Lonchura striata: one gene and its partner. The protein of the gene in region 1 purifies or fractionates together with the protein of each later gene. This does not show direct contact. Links are inferred from orthologs where the notes say so. Each region holds a gene or a part of one and is shown in the gene's direction. Other genes may lie near its edges.

Region 1 (3,907 bases):
AGGGGTGTGTGAGGGGATCCGGGGTGGGTATGGGAGCTCCGGGGCTGTGTGAGGGGCTCCGGGGCCGTGTGAGGGGAACCGGGATGGGTATGGGCGCTCCGGGACTGTGTGAGGGGCTCCAGGGGTGTGTGAGGGGAACCGGGGCTATGTGAGGGGCTCCAGGGGTGTGTGAGGGGCTCCGGGGCTGTGTGAGGGGAACCGGGGTGGGTATAGGAGCTCCGGGGCTGTGTGAAGGGCTCCGGGGCTGTGTGAGGGGCTCCGGGGCTGTGTGAGGGGCTCCGGGGCTGTGTATGGGCGCTCCGGGGCTGTGTGAGGGGCTCCGGGGTGGGCATGGGCGCTCCGGGGCTGTGTGAGGGGCTCCGGGGCTGTGTGAGGGGCTCCGGGGCTGTGTGAGGGGCTCCGGGGCTGTGTGAGGGGCTCCGGGGCTGTGTGAGGGGCTCCGGGGCTGTGTGAGGGGCTCCGGGGCTGTGTGAGGGGATCTGGGGCTGTGTGAGGGGAACCGGGGCTGTGTGAGGGGCTCCAGGGGTGTGTATAGGAGCTCCGGGGCTGTGTGAGGGGACCCGGGATGGGTATGGGAGCTCCGGGGCTGTGTGAGGGGCTCCGGGGCTGTGTGAGGGGCTCCGGGGTGGGTATGGGCGCTCCGGGGCTGTGTGAGGGGAACCGGGGTGGGTATGGGAGCTCCGGGGCTGTGTGTGAAGCTCCGGGGCTGTGTGAGGGGCTCCGGGGCTGTGTGAGGGGCTCCGGGGCTGTGTGTGAAGCTCCGGGGCTGTGTGTGAGGGGCTCCGGGGCTGTGTGAGGGGCTCCGGGGCTGTGTGTGAAGCTCCGGGGTTGTGTGAGGGGCTCCGGGGCTGTGTGAGGGGCTCCGGGGCTCTGCGCGAAGCTCCGGGGTGTGTATGGGCGCTCCGGGGCTGTGCGCGAAGCTCCGGGGGTGCCCCAGGGACCCCGAGGGCTCCCGGGGGCTGCCGAGGGGTCCCGGCTCCGCGAGGCACCGCGCGGCCCCGAGCGCCCCGCCGCTCCTCTCGCGAGACGTGGCGGCGGCCGGCGGGGCCGTGCCGGGCGGGATCGCGGCGCGCCCCCCGCCCCTCCCAGCGCCGCCGCGGGGCGGATGCGGCGGGGCCGCCATAGTGCGGGCGGGAGGAGCCGCCGCCGCCCGGCCGGGGACGCGCTCCCGCCGCCCCCTCCGCCGCAGCCGGGAGCGGGCGGAGCCTGCGCGGCGCCGCCGGTTTTTTCCCCGCCGCATCCCTGCCGCCGCGCCAGCCGAGCAAGCGGCCGCGCTCCCGCCTGGGCTGAGCGGGGTCGGGCGGAGGGACCGGAGGCAGCAGCGGCGCCGTCACCTGGCGCTGCGGCGGGGGCGGGGCGCGGCGCTGTGTCTGCGGCAGCCCCGGGGCGCCGCTCGGCCGCTTAAAGCAGCGGAGCCGCCGGCTGGGAGGGGCGTTCGGAGCAGCGGCGGCCGCGGAGCGAGGGGAAGGCATGGAGGGCAAGGAGCTGGCGGCGGGGTCCACGGGGGATGAGGGCTCCAGGGATGCGCTGGGCAAGCCGCTGGGTCCCACGCCGAGCCAGAGCCGCTTCCAGGTGGACCTGGTGGCCGAGGGGCCCCGCAAGTCGTGCGGGGACATCGGCGCGGCGGGCAAGGGAGGCGAGGAAGCCAAGGGCAGGTTTCGGGTGAACTTCGTGGACCCGTCGGCCGGCGGCGAGAGCCCCGGCGAGCCCGGGGGAGGCAGCTCGGAGGGCGGCAACGTGCAGAACGGCGGCGACACGGTGATGAGCGAGGGCAGCCTGCACTCGGGCGGGCACCACCACTACTACTATGACACCCATACCAACACCTACTACCTGCGCACCTTCGGCCACAACACCATGGACGCCGTGCCCCGCATCGACCACTACCGGCACACGGCCGCCGACCTGGGCGAGAAGCTGCTCCGGCCCAGCCTGGCCGAGCTGCACGATGAGCTGGACAAGGTGAGAGCGGCTCCCGGGCTCCCCCGGCGCCGGGGGTGCGGCAGCTCCTCGGAGCGCGTCGGCAGAAAAGCTTAAAAAAAAAAAAAAAACAAACCCAAAACACGAAAGCTCGCCGAGCCTCGAGCAGGCGCATATAGCGCGGGTGCATAGCTTGCGTCTCAGTTCTGTTACATATTTATTTTTTTTTGTCTTTTCCTGACGCAGTGGAATCCATCCCCCCACGAACACGTGCTTTTGGGAGATGGTCCCCCAGTGCCAGAGGTATTTTCCGTAGGGTTGTTTTCCCTGTCACCGAGCTGGGATTCTCTTACAGGTTTTCCACGTCCAAATCGCCTCCAACAGATAGCGTATTGATTCGGGGGCTCGCCATGGGAACTAGTGTGGGGAGGCGAGTGAACACATTTGGTAGAGACGCTAAAAAAATGAAGTAAATAAATAAGGATGCGCTTGCTTTGGTAGCGGCCGGAGGTTTGTCTCTGCGGCTCCGAGGTGGAGCCCGCTGGATCCGATGGGATCTGGATCGGATGCTGCTGGATCTGCACAGGCACAGATCCTGAGCCAGCCTTCCCAGGGCTGCTCCTGTGCCGCGGTCAAGGCTTGAAAAATTTCGGAGCTGTGCGTCTCAGGCTTTTTCTATTTTGGACTAGGAGTCCGTGTGTTATTTGAGACGAGTTGACAGTGAGAGCCTTCTTTGCATTGCAGGCTGGCTTGGCTAGAAGACCAGCTGTAACTGAACGTAGAATTAATTTCCCGGGCTTATTTTTTTTTTTCTTTAACTATCGTCACTAAACTAACTCCAGATAAAGATTAAACTCTTGCAATGCTGTTTTCTCACTGTTTGAAAATTGGTGTATGGCTGTGCTCAGGAGCCAGTGTTTTTAAGTGAGGTCTTTCTGCTGGGTTTAGGGAAATAAATGCATGGGCCACATTCCAAGGAAGTGAATATTTTGTTTCCAGAACTTTTTTTTTTTTTATCACACTTTTCACTGCTTATAGGTGGAGTTCCTTGAGGAAATGTGTATTCTTTCCAGATTTACCTGTTTCACACCATTATTAGGCTTCTCAGTGCATCAGCACTGATGTGTGAGGTTTGGGGTTTTTTTGGGGGAATGGTGGTGATTCTTTGAGTGTGTTTTTGACACTGACTGTGGAACTGTTCCAGTAGAAAGAGCTGGTTGGTGCATTACAAAGATACTTGTTTGTGACATCTGAGATTAGATGACAGATTTTAATTACTAACCATAACTCCAAATTACTCCTGCCTTCCAGGTCCCTTTTTGATGGCCTAAATGATGATCTGTGGTCTGGTTCTAAGATAGCAGTAATTGCCAATTGAGATTTCATACTATGTGTTTGGACTTGGGTAAACTATAAATAACACACATATATGTGTGCTCGTAGTACATTGGTCTTCTGTCCTGCTGCTCCCCCAGATTTCTGATTCCTGGTCCATGATAGGATGACCAGGTGTGTTGGATACTCAGCTTTGTAAGCAGAATGTTTCTCAGATTTCTAAGCTTGGCAGATAGATTTTTCAGTGTGTTAATGTTGCAGCACTGTGGAAAGCTCTTTGATACCATTAAAATATTTCAGTGCAGAATATAGCATATTCTGGACCTACAGCTTCTAAAATTGCAATTTCTTTATTAAGAAGAAATTAATGGCAAGGAATTTTCTTTGTAGTCTGTGGCACAGAGGAGTGGTAGACAACCTAATTACAGGATCATTATCAAAACAGTTTCATAGCGAGTATTAATTAATACAAGTTATTAATTTCTTAAGTGTCATTAATTCATTCTGCAGTGTGGATAGATGTACATGTGAAGATACTTCTTTTTTTAAAGCCATGCCCTCTCTGTTTGGGCCTCTCTTCCCATCAAGTGAATATTGGGGTGGAATATGGAATTTTAGTTGTATTTGGTATTAAGTATTAATTTTTAAAGAA
Region 2 (3,907 bases), on another chromosome or scaffold:
TTTTACGTTACAACATAATGTTAAAATAGAAACTCTGTGATTTAAAATATCTTTTACTAGCTCAAGAAAAGAGATAAGATAATCAAGAAATTATTCGCACAGGGATAACAGTGACAGGGCATATAATTACAGCCTCCTTATTGGAAAAGACAAACATTCTTCCACCTTCACTCCATCTTTATGGAACTACCAGGATTAAGGGGAACAAGTTGACAAAAACCAGAAAAATTCTTAATTTACAAGGAATTTATGCATCATGTATGAGATACATGAATATTCAACAGGCTATTGCTTTTAAGGGCTATTCCTTTGTTCACAAGACATGTTTTTGGCAGCGGTGAAAAACACCAGTCACTTGGTTTTTAAAATATTAAAAGTTTAATAATAATAAAATAGTTATAAAGATAGTAATACAATTAGAGTAATAAAAATGTAGTCAGGACAATTACAAGACAATAAAAAGCAAAGAATTACGGATGTCCGGATGCTCTCGGGCACTTCTGGTTTTTGTCAACTCCTTCCCCTCAATCCTGGTGGTTCCATGAAGACAGAGAGAAGGTAGAAGAATGTTTGTCTTTTCTGATAAGGGGCCTGTAACTCTTTGTCCTGTTGCTGTTATCTCTGTGCGAAGAGTTTCTTGATTATCTTATCCCTTGAGCTAGTAAAAAAATCCTACATCGCAGAGTTTCTATTTTAACATTATGTTGTAAGCTGAAAGTATATTTAACACACTACTTAAGAGAATTAATACAGCATAACTTTCTAACATTACACATACAATATTCATTGTAACATTTGCGAAAAGCCAATCATAAAATATGCATTTTTCAGAGCAGCTTAGCATCCAAAAATATCCGGACGTCCGTAATTCTTTGCTTTCTATTGTCTTGTAATTGCCCTAACTCTAAATTTTTATTACTCTAACTGTATTACTATTTTTATAACCATTTTATTATTATTAAACTTTTAAAAATAATAAACAACAAGTGACTGGCGTTTTTCACAGTAGCTCATTTAAAATGTTTTTATTTCGCTCTGCTTCGCGGCACGTACGTTCAAGCGGCAGGGTGAGCGTCTAGCTGTAAGTAAGGGTTTCATTAACTCGAGGTTACGGGTTGGAAAACTCTTTATCCTGGCCGCTCCCTGGCTGGAGGCAGGCGGGGATGGGCGGCGGGCGGCGGCCCGCGGCCATAACAACAAACCCCCCTCAGCGGCGCCAAGGCGGAGGGGCGGGGCCGGCCGATGGCGGCGGGCGATTGGCTGAGGCGCCCCGCGCAGGGCGGGCCGGCAGCCGCGATCCAGCCGCGCATTGGTCCGGCCTCAATCCGGGCGCTTCCGATTGGCGGAGCTTGCTGCCCGTCTCCCGCTTCCCCGCACGCTCCGCTCGCCCGTGCCGTGCGTGCCGTGATTGGCCGGCGCGGCGCGGCGCGGGCCGCGGCACCTGCTCCCGCACTCCCGAGAGCGGCGGGGGCGCCGCGCGCGTGCGCGGCCGGGGATGCGCCGGGGCGAGCGGCCGGGCCCGGCTCCGCCCGCCGCGGGCCCGACAGCGCCGCCGGTAACCGCCGGTAACCGCCCGTTGCGGGAGGAGCGGCGTCGCCGTGCTCGGTAACCGGGCCGGGAGAAGCGGCGGGCGCTCAGCCCCGCGGGAGGTGCGTGTGCATCCCGTGCGGCCAGGGGAGGGGCGATGGCCCCGGCGGGCGGTGGCGGCCCCGGCTCGCCCTTGCCTCACGACGGCGGCTGGTCCCGAGGGTGGGATGCGGGAGGGCTCGGGAGCTCGGCCCCTTCCCCGAGGCCGGGCGGGAGAAGCGCGGAGTCGCGGGTGCACGACGGGCGGAGCTCCAGCGGCCTTGGTTCTCCTTTCGAGGTATCCCAAAAAGCAGGTTCGAGTCGCATGCTGACACGACACCGCGTGGCCGTTTGTCCCTAAAATCTGTATTTTTTGATTGGGAAAGAGGGTCTTGAAGGTTTTAGTCGAGCTCCCTGTAGCAGCAGAATATCTCGAGGCGCCTGCGGGAGTGCAGCATTGTGGCTGGAGGAACTGCTGAACTTGGCATTCGGCATCCACTACAGCGCAGGGTGCTTAACGCTAAAGGTAAAGCGAGGGAGGTACAGTTTTCACACCCAATAAAGGAAAAAATTAAAATCGTGGAAGAATTCTTGCATGCATTTCCAGTTACACAACGTTTCCAGTTACAGCTGGATGTTATGTCAAGTTGATGCCAATGTAGCAGAATGAGAGCGGGAATAAAGCAGCTCATGGTTGCAGATGGAAGAAAGGGGGTGTGAAATATCCTCCGCTTTTCACATCCCTGGATGAAATTGGTATTTGGTCCTGTGAAAAGACAGTATATTGATACTGGATGCAGGAGCTTTGGACTTCGGAGTGAGAATAGCTGTCTTACTCCCTTTCTGCTAGAGAATCCAGAACTCTGAGAGTTACATGGAAAAGGCATGACTGTTTTCAAAGTACAAGAAAAGGTCAGTAATCTGAAAGATCCTGACCTCTTAACTAAGTTCTTCAGTGAATGGAATAATGATGCTGCTAACTTAATGGCATGTATACGATACACCCTGGTACAGAAGTACAAAAGTTGACACAGTTGCACTATGCAACCCAAATCAAATTGTTGACACCACGAATTCTCCCCTGACCTGCTGCTTGCAACAGAGGTAGCCCTGAGGCTGGTCCAGCTTGCTTAGAGATTTTTTTCTATACTGTCTTGGAAAAGCCCAAGGACTGAGACTAGGCAGGCTGTACTGCTGCTTGCCTGTCCGTGTGGGGAGAGAAATTCTAATATCCAGTCAGACTATGTTTACAGCTTATGCCGTTGTCTTTTATCAGTACTGGTCTGTGTCTCAGAAGAAGCAGCTTGTTACTTTAGGTGCAATATTCTGCTGATGTTGCAGCACTGTTGTTGGTCCCTGGAGCATCCTCTGCAATACTACTGCTGGCTTAAATGACCTGCTGATGTGTAGCTGTGCTGTGGTTACTCATGGTAAAAAGTGACCAAGCTATGCAAAATGTATGTTTAAAATTACAGGTCTGAACTTAGATGCATTGACAAGACTGCTAGTAAATATGTTTGGTGTTTTGTGAGAGCCATAGACTCTTCTAATTTGCTTTGTTCTGCTGAGGAAATTGTAACAGTGGGAATCCTTTTGACTTATTTTCATTGCCATCTTGAAAATAGAGTAAGAAAAGTTTCTCGTAGATCTTCATGTGTTACTATGGAATGTTCAGTAGGTTTTAAAGATAATTAAATGTGTAGTGTGAAGATCTGTTTTGAGACCATAAACTCATTGGTTTAGGTGAAAGATTTATTTTATATTCTAAGACTGTAGTGTGGCAGAGTTCACAAAAGTGAAAGATGTCACGGGCTGGTTAAAACCATCTTTGCCTGGCAGCTGAGTGTTAACTTTAATTGGTCTTGATAACATTTCAGCATTTCTGGGACTATTTTAGAAGTATGTTAAAAGGTCAAAATTAAAATGCACCCTCTCTTCTTGAAGGAAGAAGTAAGAGATATAATTGAAAGCTGAAGGAACTTAGGGTAGTCCTGGGTAGGATCAGGGAGTAGTGATAAGATTCAGTGGGAACCATGTGACAGCATCAGAAATTTTGGAATGGAGCTGTTTGCAAAGATGAGTACTAGTGTGTCTTTTTGGATGCCTGTGTTAGTCTGTGTATGGAACAAAAGTGAATGGGGGTAATTACAGTAAAATTTCAGCTACGTAAGTGAAAAGCATTGTCAATCATACACAAACACACCTGAAATGTACTGGAAGAGAAAGTTGTACCTCTTGCTCTGCTTCAGGAGAAGCAGAAACCATGTGCATGACAAACTAGCAAAGGTAAGGTAGGCAAGCTATATGCTAAAAATGCAAGTGTGATACTTGTTTAATATTT

The links.
Region 2: the proteins of SLC12A2 (region 1) and CLGN purify together in Homo sapiens (co-immunoprecipitation; 3 studies listed by BioGRID and IntAct, with this or other methods). This does not show direct contact. The link is inferred for Lonchura striata from reciprocal best matches to the Homo sapiens genes SLC12A2 and CLGN.

The regions. Positions count from the first base shown.
Region 1 is NC_134642.1:83,897,981-83,901,887, forward strand, and holds the start of SLC12A2 (solute carrier family 12 member 2), read left to right. Parts: upstream 1-1,321; 5' UTR 1,322-1,470; coding exon 1,471-1,962; intron 1,963-3,907. UniProt on the Homo sapiens protein: Cation-chloride cotransporter which mediates the electroneutral transport of chloride, potassium and/or sodium ions across the membrane. Plays a vital role in the regulation of ionic balance and cell volume.
Region 2 is NC_134606.1:65,816,779-65,820,685, forward strand, and holds the start of CLGN (calmegin), read left to right. Parts: upstream 1-1,492; 5' UTR 1,493-1,649; intron 1,650-1,780; exon of another isoform or gene 1,781-1,864; intron 1,865-3,907. UniProt on the Homo sapiens protein: Functions during spermatogenesis as a chaperone for a range of client proteins that are important for sperm adhesion onto the egg zona pellucida and for subsequent penetration of the zona pellucida.